2 linked regions of the Oreochromis niloticus genome follow. The protein of the gene in region 1 purifies or fractionates together with the protein of each later gene. This does not show direct contact. Links are inferred from orthologs where the notes say so. Each region holds a gene or a part of one and is shown on either strand. Other genes may lie near its edges. The genes, in order: kifbp and kif14.

Region 1 (7,375 bases):
TGGTCTTCTAACCAACAAACTAATCTAAAAGGGAAATTTCACAGGTCACATGACTTTTTTTCCACAAAAGTCCCTATGACTGCCGCTTACTCCGGAGATGTTATCAAATGGTGATTAAGAAGCTATAAAGAACAAATAAAATCTAAAAACTGTGCCAGTAAAATCCAACACTTTTGCAGAAACAACAAAAGATGAATGTTGCAGCAATTTGTTAACGGTTAATCGTTAGTGCACAGAGCAGTAAAATAATCATTTTGGTTCAAGTTTTTTAGTTGTCGAGTGGATTCATGGTGCTGCGTTTATTTCTTAGGTGACAGCTGCACATTATAGCTCTGAAACTTTACTGTTTAAACAGAGCCAGTTTAAAGTTTACTGACCTATAGCTTAATTAAGCAAATGTGCTTAGTTTTTTTGGCAGATCAAATAGGTACTCTTCATGTGTGTTCTGTGTTCTAATAGCTGCAATTCAGTCCGTGTAAAAGAGACTTAGCAGCAGATTAGAATCAAGTATAACAACATTTACACATTTTATAAATTATCATATTAACATGTGCATATTCCTGTGACAATGCCAGACTGAGTTTGAACTTCTTTCAGTGGTTCTAGTAAGGGATGGCTTAAACTGGACATTATTCTCTCAGCTGCAGACTCAGTACTGTTTAAGGGTTTGAGAGTAAAGATTAAATATAAAAACAGAAATCAAACATAGACTTGATATGATGTCACCAAGGGCATTGTAGGGGTCCTGCTTTAGGATCAGACAGTAATGCCTACACAACAATGCAAGAGTTTTAAAATTGTTCCCTGTCAACAGAAAATAATACATACAGTAAATCTGCATGTAAGAATCTATATTTATTCCTCAATCAGAAACACAATGACTTTAGATGGTGATGAAAAACTTTAGACCAAACCTACTCTCCCTGCAGAGATCCAAGGAATTTTAGGAATGGTGACGCTATGTTCTGGAGAACTGACTGATCAGTAGGCGGTGATTTTAGAGCTGTTGATCTCTAATCTGGAATTTAGCCTGCTCCAGACGAGGTTACAGTATAAGCTACCATGGCAAGTTACCCCGGTAAGAAGTGAACCAGCTTTGTAGTGCAGAAAACTCAGGGTTAGTGCTGAAATGACCTGGATAAGACACAGTCTTTCTTCTTACTACAAGCTTCTGATCTGGCTGTGTGTGTACGCTATAGTATGCAAGTTCCTGTTAGCTTTCCACACAACTCGTGACTTCCCACCCTGCACTTTATAAACAAGATGGCAGAGTCCAGACCAGGACGCTAAAAAATGAGATTTTCATCGACACGATATATAAATCAATGAATTAACATGTCCTGCATGTGTCCAAAGCATCTCAGCCTTGCCTCTCTAACTCAAACCTGTATTATATTCATTTCTAATCACGTTCATACTACTGATGAAAATCTGAGCATCTTCCGCTCGGCACTGCCATCAGCTCCAAACACAGCAGGTCTCACTCCCATCTTGTTAAACCTCCCTTTTTACTCTTGCTACCATCATCTGTCACATTCTGAGCAACTCCTATGTGACATCTAGTGGTTGTGAATACTGCATGCAGCACTTTTAAAAGAAAAAGCATTTTATATAACATGCAGAATATCTTAGGTTGCAGATCAAATGTCTATAAATGACTTTAAGCTGGCTATATGCTTACCTTAGTGATGTAATACTGGGATAGTGTAGCAGCATTTAGAGCCCACTCCATTGGAGTAAACTGATTTAACTGTAGCTGTCTCTGCAGGGTTGTGTGGCAGTAGGTAGCGGCACGCTCAGTTTGACCTGAGAGACAAAACTATAGTTATTATAGTTATTACAAGTAATTTAAATAGCTAAATAGGGGTCAGATGCAATTTCTTGTTGTTTCATCAGTGTAATTTTTTTTGGTGGGTATTATCCTTAAATGATCTCATACTCACCCAGGTTTTTATAAACTTGAGCAAGGTAGTACATGGTATGGGTGTAGGCCAACTCAAACCTATACACAAGGAAAGCAGAGAGAGACAAAGGGACTAAATAAAAGCAAGGAAATAGCAAAATCCTGGAAATTTGCTGTGGAAGTTACCTCTTAATCCTTTCCTGGTGAGTCAGCAGGTTCTCCTCAGCAGCAAAGTACTCTGTCATATCAGTGGGAGGACTGCCGTCCTGAAAAAAGAAGAAGAGGATTTACCTATTGTGATTGCAGCCATACTGTGGGGGCAGCATTACCTTCCTGAAAACTAATATTTCAATCAATCCTCATTTTTTAAAAATAAACTTTTATTCAGGAAATCAGCCTTGCCTCCTTCATGTAACGTTGATAGATGGATTCTGCAGTTTCGAGGAAGCCCTGTGCAGTCTCTGTCTCATCCCGGCCTGCCCAGAGGATACCTAGCTGGTTCTGAAAACACAAGGAGACAACACATGAGCATCAAATGATCATGCATCATCTGATGGTACTACTATAGCAGTGTGACTCTTAAAAACATGTAGCAGTGCTTTATTTATAACGCTTCACAAACACTCTGATGGAGTGTTTTCAAAAATCATCCTTAGCATTATAATCACATGTCACACGTTTAATACATATTCTTATCAGTGATCATAACATAACTTCTGTATGTAGTGTAATTTTTATTTATTTATTTGTTTGTTTTAAATAGCAGCTTTGTATTATTGTAAGAAAGAAACGATCAACGTTACCCTAACTTGGATAAACAGGGACACATTCGGGGACGACACTCTGCATCTCTCCAGCAGCTTCATGCAGTTCATTAGGTGCTCCTGCCCGGCTGAAAGCTCCTCCGTGTCCACATGGTTGACGCCCAGGTAGTACTCCACAGCTCCGAGTCTTGCGGCCCGCAACCCGGCTGGTGAATCACCGCTGAAGCCCTGGCCGAACAGGTCCTCTCTCTGCCCGTCCACCGGCTGCTCTGTCGGCCGTTGTTCGCCGCTCTCTCCGCCGCCCTCCTCTTCACCTTCGCCGGCTTCAAAATTCTTCAGCGAGCAGTATATCTCTCTGAGAAGCTCCCTGGCTTTGTACTTAGAGCGGAAGGGGTCATTTTCTTTATCGTTTCGTGATTCTATTTCTGTGAGATTTTGGGCGTTCGTGAATTTGTCGCAGATAGCTCTCCATTCGTTGCTGTTGAAGGACGCCATGTTGGTCCTCTCAGGCGTTCTGACGCAGCTGCGTGCTTCTTGTTGGGCGTTTATCAATATGCGTACTTGTGCGTACTTGTGCGTACTTGCGTTCTCGTGTACTCGTGATACGTCATCAGTCGGAGACCAAGTACTATTCCAATTCGAAGTACGCAAAAAGTCCCGGATGTGTTCTCGATCCGCCCGTTTTATCGAGCATGCATCGGTGTGGACTTGGGACAGCTAAATATCCCAGAATGCATTTCGTCCAAAACTCAACAGCGGACTCCCGGCACATCGTTTTCAACCCCCCCCCCCACCCGCTCGCGGACTTCTCACTACTCAGGTTAAAGAAACCCCAGCAGCTGTCTATAGTATTGAGTGTCCACTAGAATAGAAATAAAAGCGTTCTAACATCTCACCTGCTTGTTTTTATTAAGGTATGTACACTGCAATATTTGCCTTTATTTATCTGAAACTGAAGTCTTATGTTCCTTAAGTACATCTACCCTGTTGAACTTATTATGGGAAATAAATATTTAAATCAAAACAAGCTGCTGATTATTTCACATTTTACTTGTGAGCAACGGCACATTTAAATCTTACAAATATAGTTATTTGGCTTATATCGTGATATATATCGTTATCGCCAGAAATGAAAAAAACATATCGTGATATGAAAAAATCTTATATCGCCCAGCTCTACAATTAACTCAGAGTGAGCGCTGGTCTGTTCTGAATTTTCTCTTCATGTCTGAACAACTTCTTGCTTCTCACTCAATTTCCACTCAACCCCCACAAATTATACATCAAAACGTAGGTATTTTTGCTGGCTTTCAGACAATGTCACTATCTTTATTGTGAGATTTACCGTTTTTTCGCAATTTGCCTCGAAGTGACACATGGTCTGGTTACTCCCCATTCAAAGTCTATGGGGAGGTTTTGAAATTCAGAGCTGAAATTCTGTAACGGGAGGCATTTTCAAATCGTCATATCTCTTAAACAAAACAAAGTTAGGACATGAGGCTTGTGCCAATATATCTTCAGACACTGCTGACACTCACAGTGGAAGCAGTTTTTACAATTATCTTACCGTTGAGCCATAAATTACGTTTGTTTGAGGGGTGGAAATCTGTCCTCCTCTCAGTTTTCACACTCTGAAAATGAAGCCGTTTCTTCTCTCGTCATATCTCCGCGACGGAGGGACAAAGAGCAATGAAAATCGCAGTCAAAGTACGCCAAAGTGCGCTGATTCACCCAGTACAAGTTACATGACGTTTTGTAACTCCAAAAAACGGCGCTTTTCGCCTCTCACCGCGATCTATTTCTGATTGCTGATGTCTTTGTTTTTCAGCCGCCCGCCCCCTTCCCAGGTGGCGCAATCAGTAATGACACGGCTCTGCAGCTCAAAGGTCGTGGGTTCAATCCCACCTTGGTCAACCTTTTTTTTTCACTACAAATGAGTAGTGCAAAAACATACTATGTCTGCAACATCACAGTATATCTGTTATGTTATAGTATTACTACTAAATCACAGTATTTCTGCCAATTCAAGGAGGCTGACTGTTACTAAGTGCATCAGTGTACATAGGTCATCTGTTGTGTTGGAGTGCCCTTTTGTGGCGCCTCTTGGGTAGTGCCTTAGTAAACGTGAACACTGCAAAGAAGTGGTATCAGACTGGTTTGTAGTGGAGGAATTTGTTGCCAGTTTCTTTCATCTTTAATCCGTATTCATGTTGTAATGTAGTAACTTTTGTGGCACAAACACCACAATATGGCAGAAATACTATGTTTTGGCACAAATACTTTGATTTGGTATACTTTAGCTTCTTCACCCCTTTTCAGCAAAATTTTCATTTTTTTCACGCCTTTTCAGCACAAATTCTACCTTTTTTGGCTGTTTTCAGAAAAAAAACTCTTTTTAGCAGAAACTCTGCTCTTTTCTGCAAAATTTTCAGCCTTTTCACCTCTCATCAGTACAATTCTCAGCAGCTTCTGCTAATTTCAGCACAATTGTCAGTCTCTCCACCTCTTCTTCATGTGAATGAGTTTGGTTCAGTGAGATGAGTAGCTGCCTTTAGACTAGGAGGGCCAGGTTCAAATCCTGCTCAGGGTGACTTTCGTTTTTTTTCCACCACCATACAACTTTTTGCAACTTTTCATCTTTTTCAGCTTTTCAGCAGACAGCTTCAGCGTTAAGGCATCCACACAGCATTTTCGCAGGAAATGCAAATTTTCTAGTTATTCCTGTTTTACTCCATTAAAAGCATTACTCGCCCACATTTCGGAGTTCCATTGCAGCTTTAGATTTTAATTACAGTTATGGTCAAATCAAAAGGTCACTTCACTTAAATCATTTTTGAAGAAACAATGATTTTGCTGTCACACTAGCATATTCACATGAGGTGAAACAACTTTGCAACAAGAATAACACACATCAAGCGCAATACATACAAAAGATCAAAAAACAGATTATTTATTTATTAATATAAATATGATTTTTTTCATGTCAATATGTGTGAAGTTGTCAGTTTTTGTGTAGTGTCAGTAGCCGTGTATAAGTTGTGTAATGAATAGCAAATATAATCATTACCATTATTACATTACCATGCCTACTTATTTACAACTTCTCTAGAGGTGATGCATATGATATAGCTGTAGGCATAAAGATAAATTATGTTTTAGAAGGATCTTCACCAGGGCCGTGCAGAGACGTTTAAAGGGGCGGGTGCTCAAAGTTAAAAAGGGGCACATTGAACCAGGCTGAATAACAACAACACACATTCATCAAGAATCTAATATGGGATCGCATCATACTACATCACTGTTGTGAGGTGGCAACAAGGCAAAGCAAACGTAGCCTATGTTTTACCTGATGGGTACAATGTTGCTGTTGAGGGGTTGCTGCGGCTCCTGCTGCTGATAGTGCTGGAGGGCAGGGCTGTGCTGATCTGAGACTGTAGACCTTAAAATGTTCATAGGAGAGATGGTAGCTGATTAAACAAGTGTCATGAGATAATAACTAAATGCAAAGAACATAACAAAATGGGCTTGGAACCACAAAGCAACAAAAAACTGTGAGAAATAAACTAGGCTCTGCCTGTGAATCACTATGCTTCTCTTCTTCTTTCCATCCCCTCATTTCATATATCACTCTCCACTTGCTGTCTATCTGAGAACAAGGCACAACTTGCTATTGCAATAAACTATTATTTAATTATCCACACCTAACAACTGCTGCATTTAATCTATACTAAAATGATGACAGAAAAATGTTATAAAAGCAAAACATTCCAGTTGTGCTTATTATTATTTTTATACTGGAATACCTCTCCAACAACTGGTACATGTGCTAATGTTACCTGTGCTCTTTGTAATCCAGCTGCTGAGGGATCCACTGCCTTTAGTATCCTCACACAGCTCCTACTGTTTCCTCCTCATGTCCTTACCAGCCATGTCTGGACAATGTTATATCATTAGTAATAATTAAAAAAAAAAATCGAATAGTTATGTCTATAACTTCTGTTCCCTGAAGGAGAGGAACGAGGTACAACACATAAGTATGGGATATCACGCCCTCGCGTGTCCTGGCTGAAGAAACCTTTATTCACGCCTTTAAGGCAGATGACGTGTGATGACACGCGCACGGCCCCGCCTGCACATATAGCCGCTGTCATCACAGTCATCCCTCAGTTCGATAGCCGCTCTTCAACGAGCCAAACTGCTCAGTGGGGCCACCTTGTGTTGTACCTCGTTCCTCTCCTTCAGGGAACAGAAGTTATAGACATAACTATTCGTTCCCTTTCAGTCGATTCACTCGGTACAACACATAAGTATGGGACATGTACACCACGGTGATTGGCCTCATCAGTGACAACGATGAGACCGCCTACAGGGAGGAGGTGCATCGTCTGGCTGAGTGGTGTGACACAAACAACCTGCTGCTTAACACCGAGAAGACCAAGGAGCTCATCGTGGACTACAGGAGGAATGCTGACCCACATCCACCCATCCACATTAAGGGGACGGCTGTGGAGCGTGTGAGCAGCTTCAAGTTCCTGGGAGTCCACATCTCCGAGGATCTCACCTGGACGACCAACTGCTCCAAGCTGGTCAAGAAGGCTCACCAGCGCCTCTTCTTCTTGAGGACTCTGAGGAAGAACCACCTGTCCTCAGACATCCTGGTGAACTTCTACCGCTGCACCATCGAGAGCATCCTGACCAACTGTATAAC
Region 2 (7,813 bases), on another chromosome or scaffold:
CCAGTGAAATCATTTAAAAAGAACCAGAGATGGCCTGAGCCAGGAGAACCTGCCTGTGTGATGTGTGGTCGCTATGGAGAGTACATCTGTGATGCTACAGATAATGATGTTTGCAGTCTCGAATGCAAAGCCAGCCATTTAGTGCAAATGGGCATGGGGACTGGGGCAGATGCATTTATGCAAAAGGACCAAAATAGAGATGAAATGACTGTTCAAAGTCAACAGCCAGCAGCTGACCCTGGTAGGGTGGTTGAAAGTGAACCGGGCTACTTCTACAGGGAAGATCGGTTCATATCAGGCCTAACAGAGGAGCAAGTGCAACGAATTAAACAGGAGCTGGGCATAGAAACCCAGGGGAGAGATGTCGCAAGACCTGTTGTTGAATTTGAGCACTGCAGCTTCCCTGCCACATTAAGTGGTAACCTGAAAAAGGCCGGGTATGACACACCTACCCCAGTCCAGATGCAGATGGTCCCTGTTGGTCTCACAGGCAGGGATGTGATTGCCAGTGCAGACACAGGATCGGGGAAGACTGTAGCCTTTCTGCTGCCAGTGGTCGTGAGGGCACTCGAGGTACAGTATTTAAGCTAATATGTCACATACAAATGCCATCAAGTTAAATTATATTTGAGGAGGCAGACATTTCTACAGCCTGGATAAATAGCACCACAGCCCAGATCTAAATATGTAAATCTGGACTGAATCTGCTTTTGTATCAAGCGTTTGCCCTCCTGAGCTACCCCTTAGCAAGACACTAGACTCCAGTATCTGACAGAAAAGCTGCTCCGTAGTTGCCAATGACCTCTGCAGATAAAAGAGTCGAATTGAATAAATGTATTCTCAAAAAGACACAAACAATTTTACATTTAAAAATTCACAAATCCTCTCTTGGTGACATGCAGTCTGTAACATTGCTTCTGCTTTCAGAAATCAGCACACAGTGTGGGCAGCCCTGTGGCTCTGATCCTGACCCCCACCAGGGAGTTGGCCATTCAGATAGAGAGACAGGCCAAGGAACTTGTGATGGGACTCCCCAACATGAGAACTGCCCTGCTGGTCGGAGGCATGCCGCTTCCCCCACAGCTCCACCGCCTGAAGAGCAGCATCAAAGTACAGTCTCTGTTTTATTTTTCTTAAACAATAATTTCCTCCTGCTGCAGTCAAAGCTTGAGGCTGTACATTTCTCCCATGCCATGGTTTTGTTCATTTCTCAATCTCCTTTAGATTGTCATCGCTACTCCTGGGCGGCTCATCGAAATCTTGAAGCAGAAAGAGCTGAAGCTTGACAAAGTGAAGATTGTGGTGGTTGACGAGGTAGGACAAACATACTGAAATTCACAATTGACAAAAACTCTGCACTTTAAGACAAAGTAATTCAGTTCAATTCAATTTATATAGCTTTAAGGATTAGTAATGTAAAAGTTGTATTTTAGAACAGACAACATAATGACAGCTTTTGAAAGTATTCATCTATGCATTGTGTAGAAATCATTCAAATCAGTTTTGAGAGTCCTGCAACATGAAAGTTGTGCTGCATCCTGTAGGTGGACACTATGTTGAAGATGGGCTTCCAACAGCAGGTTCTGGAGGTTCTTGAGCAAGTCCCAGAAGAACATCAGACTCTTCTGGCGTCGGCCACCATCCCCACCGGCACGGAGGAGCTGGCCGCCCGGTTGGTCCGTGACCCTGTACGTATCACTATTGGCGAGAAGAACCAGCCGTGCGCCAACGTCCGACAGATCCTGCTTTGGGTAGAGGAACCTTCCAAGAAGAAGAAGCTATTTGAGATTCTCAACGTAGGTCATAGATGAGATGTTTTTCAATCTTAAGTTTGAGTTTTTAGATTAAAAATCATGAAGTCTTACAAGGTTCATTGTAAGTGGAGTATTCCTGAACACACTTCCACTGCCAGCATATGGTTTCTTTTACTGGTCAGTAGATATTTTTAGTTTTTGAATTCAGACCAGGTCTAATTGGACTTTGCACTCCAAGAAAGTACTTTAGAAGAAAAACACAAAGTTTTTCATTAGATCAGTTTTAGGTTACAGTTTATTTACTGCTCAGTCTTGACACGCACTGGTACCAGCTTGGTATTTTAACAGCTGGCTATTGTTGGTGGGAATATTTTAAAGTCCAATGAAGAACCAGCCTCCCCTTCTGCCATATTTAGACAGCCACTGTGGACACTCTGGCCTCTATCTGAAGGAAACGGGTGGGCACAGTGCCATGGTACCACTCCAGGAATCCCAGCAATAGCTTGCACTGTTTATATAAAACAGAAATGGTCGACTTTAATTAACTTGAAGGAGAAAAGTGCTCTTAGGTCGTAGTTTGAGTAACATAAGACTCTTTTCTTATAACTCAGTAACTCATAGTGTAAAGCTATTGTCTCACGAGCAGTGAGTGAATTGTGGAACTGCAGAGCTACAAAACTGGGATTTGGATGAGACACGACAAGGAAACCTGGAAAAACTGGAATGGACATGACTCAAAAACTAATCAAAGCAGTTGCTTCATATATAGCAGCTCTTACAGCATAGTGCATAATAGTTGACTCAAGATTACAATAAGTTCTCCCAAAGAACAGTAAAATTAAGAAGGTGTGATTGGGAGTATGCATTTCTTCCTGACTTGTCAAGTTACAGTTACTGCTACCTGTTGGAGGGCTGGAATGTATCCAGATGTGTAGATGCCTCTACAGGCACATAGTATACATAAAGTATTAGTTATATAGCATTTTTGGTAAGATTTTATATAGAAAATATGTAAAATGTAAAAAAAAAAAAAAATATCTTACTGCTATTTTAATTTTTTCACTTTTCAGGATGGTAAGCTGTACCAGCCTCCAGTGGTAGTGTTTGTAGAGAGTAAACTCGGCGCTGATCTGCTCTGCGAGGCAGTCGCCAAGGTGACGGGCCTCACTGCCGTGGCAATCCACTCTGACAAGAGCCAGTGGGAGCGCAACCGCATCCTCCGGGTGAGACCAGTGGGAAAACATGCACAGGGAAGAAAAACCAAACAATGCTTCCACGTTTGGTGTCCTAAAGTGTTTATCTTCAACAGCACAGACAGATACCCACAGCTGAGGCTTTCCCCAAGAATCCAGCTTTAGTCTGCATGTCCAATGCAAAGAGACACAATGCAGAAAAAAACACTGTTTTTCCATTTATGTGCTTTAGTTCTTAAATACTGACACCTTCTTAACAGGTGACTGAAGAGGTGTGGATTTATTGATACAGTCAGACAAGGCCTGAAACAATCCAGAATAAATCTAAATTATTAGGAGTCAAAGTGATTTATAATCCCAGAGTCCCACTTTTAGAGTATGTAATTTTACTGGCTGATTATATCAGACATAAATATGCTGAATTATTTTATGGACACCTCGGTTTGTTATCTCTGCTGTGTGTAAAATATAATTATGGGAACTACATGCTTATAAAAATAGGCTTGCCAGTAAATGCAGTTCATTATTAATGTCTGCTGTATATGGTACATACAGACTTCTAATTGTGGTTTTCTCTTCAGGGTCTTCTGGATGGTGACTTTGAGGTAGTGATCAGTACAGGTGTTCTGGGCAGAGGGCTGGACCTGGTCAATGTCAGACTGGTGGTTAACTTTGATATGCCAAACACAATGGATGAGTATGTCCATCAGGTTAGTCAGCACTGCTTAGTATCACTTTTTTGTAGTTTCATTAGGAAAACCTTTCAATTACGACAGCTAATCTAATATTACCTTTTTTCCCCATCTAGGTGGGCAGAGCAGGTCGGCTGGGACACAGAGGAACAGCCATCACTCTTCTCAACAACAACAACAAACGGCTGTTCCTGGAGGTGGTGAATCGAGTCAAACCCACTGGCTCCATTTTGCCCCCTCAGCTCTTAAACTCACCGCACCTCCACGAACAGCAAAGGAGGGAAAAGCAGAGAAACAAGAAGGACCACGAGGATTCACTGGTTACCACAAATAACCTCCTGGACATCATAAAGAAACATGACCGTCGCAAGAAGTAGCAACTTCTTCCAGTCTTTCATGAAAAGTTGCTTATTTATTGTGTAACTTGTAAATGTTTAATTTGTATATTTTGTTTATAAATAAATACATGAAATGTGTTTTCTATATCTGTTTTTTTAGATCTGTGTTTTGTATGGTTAGTGCAAAGTGACTTAATCAAAAAGAGAAATGCTCCACACAATCTTCCACATTTTTCCGGGCTTAGAACTGGCACTAGTGGCACACAGTGAGAGGAGCATGAAAGGGGCACTGAAAGAAGAATAACAATCCTCATTAATCCAGACTTGAACCAAGGTCCAGATGCCTTTGAGCAAGGCATTGAACGCACCCTGCCTTTTGTACAAACTTTAATCAGTCTGATTTTATTCTCATTTATTATTCCAACTAGAAGGTAATTTTTTCTCAAAGTTTCTCTGGAGGTTTTATTTATATCTCACTCCCTTCCTCAGTAGATTTAGGGAGTTTGAGACATTTCGTTTATTTTAACGGTAAAGGACTAAATTTAGATGGGAGCTTATGACTAGCACATTTTTTCCACTGGTACGCAATCTCTGAGATGACTATCGGTCACAGTTTATTTATTGTGGCTCGGTATTGTGCTGCCATCTAGCGGTATCATAAAGTGCCTACAGGCCGCGACCATGACGTGACGTAGCACTTTCAGAGAATCCAGCCAATCAGCTGCCAGTGACGGTGACGATTTGAAATTGAAGCGGGTAGAGGCGGAAGCGAGGAGGAGAACATAAACAAAAGAAGTTTTTTTTTTCGCAAGTGCAAGTAATAATTTATTCGAATGGATTTTTATTTTCCTTTAACTAACATATGGAGTCATATTTACGTCCGATTTACGTGGTTTTTAAATGTAGTTGTTCGTGTAAAGTGCATCTGCCGTTAATTCGCCTCTCTCGTAATTACACCGTTTAGGTTTCTAACAGTCCACAGCCATGTCGTTATTTAGCGTGCAAGCGAGGAAACACACCGCTTATTACGACAATCTGCTGTCAACATCAACGTCCAGGACACCCGGCCGAGAGCGAAAGATAGCCGACACGACGCTGGGCAAAAGTGTGACCGCATCAGGGGAGTCTGCATGTGAAGACAGCAGGTCATCAGATAAAAGCCGCCCGGTGAACAGGACGTATGTCGTCTCTGCCCTGTCAAAGAGCGGCAGCGGGCAGCAGACCCCTTACCGAGCTCGGCTCACCCTACAAAGACGGTCAAGGAGGAAGACCGGGGCCGAAACGGCGGAACAAACGATGACAGACAGTAGCCAAAGCACCACAGCAGCTCCGGAGAAGAGACTGACTCTGCAGCGCAGGACCAGGACTCCCTCCATGGACAAGAGCGGACGTGGACAGCCTGGTGGCCTGCAGTCAACTCCCAAAGTTCTCAGTGAACCAAACGGGAGGACACCTGGTTTATTCAGGTCTACGAGCTTAAGAGAAACTGCGACTCATGTGCAAACACAAGGGAGGTTTGCACAGAACAAGACCTCCTCCTCTTCTTCATCTTCAAGTAGAAACACAGACGAGACCCAGACATTTAAAACGCCGACCAGAAAGACCCCGTTTGAGAGAATCGCTGCCAAACGAGACGTGTTTGAGAGACTGGCAGGAAAAGAAGCTCCCAAGCCAGTGTTGGTCAAATCTGCCAGTCTGGAAAGGCCCAAACCCCGAGCACAGCAAGCCGAAAACACTAAACCCGTCTCGGCTCCTCGGATCAGCAAGACGACCTCAGGTGTGCGAAGACCTGACACGACGCTGCAGGTGATAAAGACAAACACCTCGAACCAAAAGGGAGACGTGACCCAGGTCAGGACATCCGATCCTGCTCCTCCTGAACAGATCCTGCCCAGTACCAGTGAGGGTCTGAAGCAGCAGGACTTGCTTAAAATGGAAAACAGTGCTGTTACCGTGGCTGTGCGTGTTCGCCCCTTCAGTGCCAGGTTAGTGTTTAACTGCTGGGTGACTGAGAAGCAGGCCCCCGTGTCAGTATATTAAAGTCTGGTTCTGGAAAATCTGTGTATAAAACACTGGCATGCTACTTGTTTAAAGAAAGAGAAACAACACATTTCTGAAGTTTTGTGTTCTGCTCTATTACAGGGAGAAAGCTGAGAAGTCCTCACAGGTCATCTTCATGAATGGCCAGGAGACTGTTGTCCAGCATCCAGAGTCCAGGCAGAGCTACTCCTTCACCTACGACTTCTCTTTCTGCTCAGTGGATGCCAGCGACTCCAACTTTGCCTGCCAGCAGACCGTGTATGAGACGCTGGCCAAGCCTCTGCTGCTGAGGGCCTTTGAAGGATTTAACACCTGCCTGTTTGCCTATGGCCAGACAGGTTCTGGTAAATCATACACGTGAGTGGACTCACTTTTCATTTACATCAGTGTTCTCACTTATGTGGTCATGTTTTTTTTGTTTTTTGTTGTTGTTGTTTTTTTTACTTTTGTACTGTAATCTGTCACTTTGATGTGTTAAGACTGATTGTTTTGCAGGATGATGGGTTTTGAGGAGGAGGTAGGGGTGATCCCAAAATTCTGCCACGAGCTTTTTTCCAAACTGGCCTCAATAAAAAGTGAAGAGGTAAGCTCTCTTTTTGTTTTTGTTTTTTTTTACATTTCTATTCCAATTTCATTTTTATCTGAAAAATAATTAAATGATCTGTTTGGGTCCCTTTTGAATCTCAGGTCAAATGTCATGTAGAGATGAGCTACTTTGAAGTGTACAATGAGAAGATCCATGACCTGCTGGTGACCAGAGAAGAACCAAACCAGAGGAGGATGCCCGTGAGTAGTTTGCTGTTGAGTGACACTCATCCCTGGCACGTGTTTTTATCTCTAACTTGCCACTGTGGTTGACTTACCCCGGGGGAAAAATGTAGAAAACCTTTGTTTGGATTTGTTTTCCAGCTGAGGGTGAGAGAGCATCCGATCCACGGGCCTTATGTCGCTGAGCTCTCAGCGTAAGAAAATCCCGTCTTTCTCTCTTTATTCGCTGAAAGCTTGAACATTCTTGCATGGTATGTTTTTCAGAATTGCTCAGCTTGCTATTTCTTCACAGGAATGTGGTGCGCTCTTACAATGATGTTCAGGTAAGATGAACCAGTTGTCTTTTTATACTCTCCTGTTAGTGGGTGCTTTCAAGAACAAGCTAGGTCTTTAGTGTCAAGCAGACAAAAAGCCTGTTAACCGAATCTAAGAGGGTTGTCATGGAAATGAATATCTTCAAGTGAGATTTCACACAGAGAATCAATAATAATTTAAAGTACTTTTTCCTTCTTCTTTAGGGCTGGCTGGAGCTCGGGAATAAGCAGAGAGCCACGGCGGCCACAGGAATGAATGACAAGAGCTCCAGATCTCACTCTGTCTTCACCTTGGTCATGACCCAGACTAAGGTATGGACTCTTCACTGTGTATTTACACCTCTTTTCCCTCTTTGAGTTTTTACGTAAAAAGAATACAACGTTAATACGGGGGGAGTGGATGAATCGTGCTTACATTAAGTGCCTGTGAATCCATTTGTGTTTGTGTGTGCAGACTGAGCTTGTGGAAGGAGAGGAACATGACCACAGTATCACCAGCAGGATCAACTTGATCGATCTGGCAGGCAGCGAACGCTGTCGCTCTGCCCAGACCAGTGGAGACCGACTCAGGGTGAGTACATGTTAACTACCATCTGTGGTTAAGTCATTAAGCAGTTAATCATTGCTTGTTGGAGATTTTTAGGTGAACCACGGTATATAATTTTTATCATTCACAAATCAGAGTACAGTCTCTTGTCTCAGAAGGCTCTGGTT

The links.
Region 2: the proteins of kifbp (region 1) and kif14 purify together in Homo sapiens (affinity purification with mass spectrometry; 3 studies listed by BioGRID and IntAct, counting the BioPlex papers as one, with this or other methods). This does not show direct contact. The link is inferred for Oreochromis niloticus from reciprocal best matches to the Homo sapiens genes KIFBP and KIF14.

What each region holds. Positions count from the first base shown.
Region 1 is NC_031965.2:25,094,893-25,102,267, forward strand, and holds the start of kifbp (KIF-binding protein), read right to left. Parts: upstream 3,197-7,375; 5' UTR 3,163-3,196; coding exon 2,707-3,162; intron 2,405-2,706; coding exon 2,306-2,404; intron 2,170-2,305; coding exon 2,090-2,169; intron 2,003-2,089; coding exon 1,944-2,002; intron 1,807-1,943; coding exon 1,682-1,806; intron 1-1,681. UniProt on the Homo sapiens protein: Activator of KIF1B plus-end-directed microtubule motor activity. Required for organization of axonal microtubules, and axonal outgrowth and maintenance during peripheral and central nervous system development.
Region 2 is NC_031980.2:33,890,020-33,897,832, forward strand, and holds the start of kif14 (kinesin-like protein KIF14), read left to right. Parts: upstream 1-4,706; 5' UTR 4,707-4,961; coding exon 4,962-5,962; intron 5,963-6,119; coding exon 6,120-6,374; intron 6,375-6,512; coding exon 6,513-6,600; intron 6,601-6,704; coding exon 6,705-6,803; intron 6,804-6,926; coding exon 6,927-6,979; intron 6,980-7,077; coding exon 7,078-7,108; intron 7,109-7,303; coding exon 7,304-7,411; intron 7,412-7,553; coding exon 7,554-7,670; intron 7,671-7,813. Other genes in the region: putative ATP-dependent RNA helicase DDX59, read left to right, coding at 1-573, 928-1,110, 1,225-1,314, 1,545-1,796, 2,825-2,977, 3,529-3,657, 3,756-4,016. UniProt on the Homo sapiens protein: Microtubule motor protein that binds to microtubules with high affinity through each tubulin heterodimer and has an ATPase activity. Plays a role in many processes like cell division, cytokinesis and also in cell proliferation and apoptosis.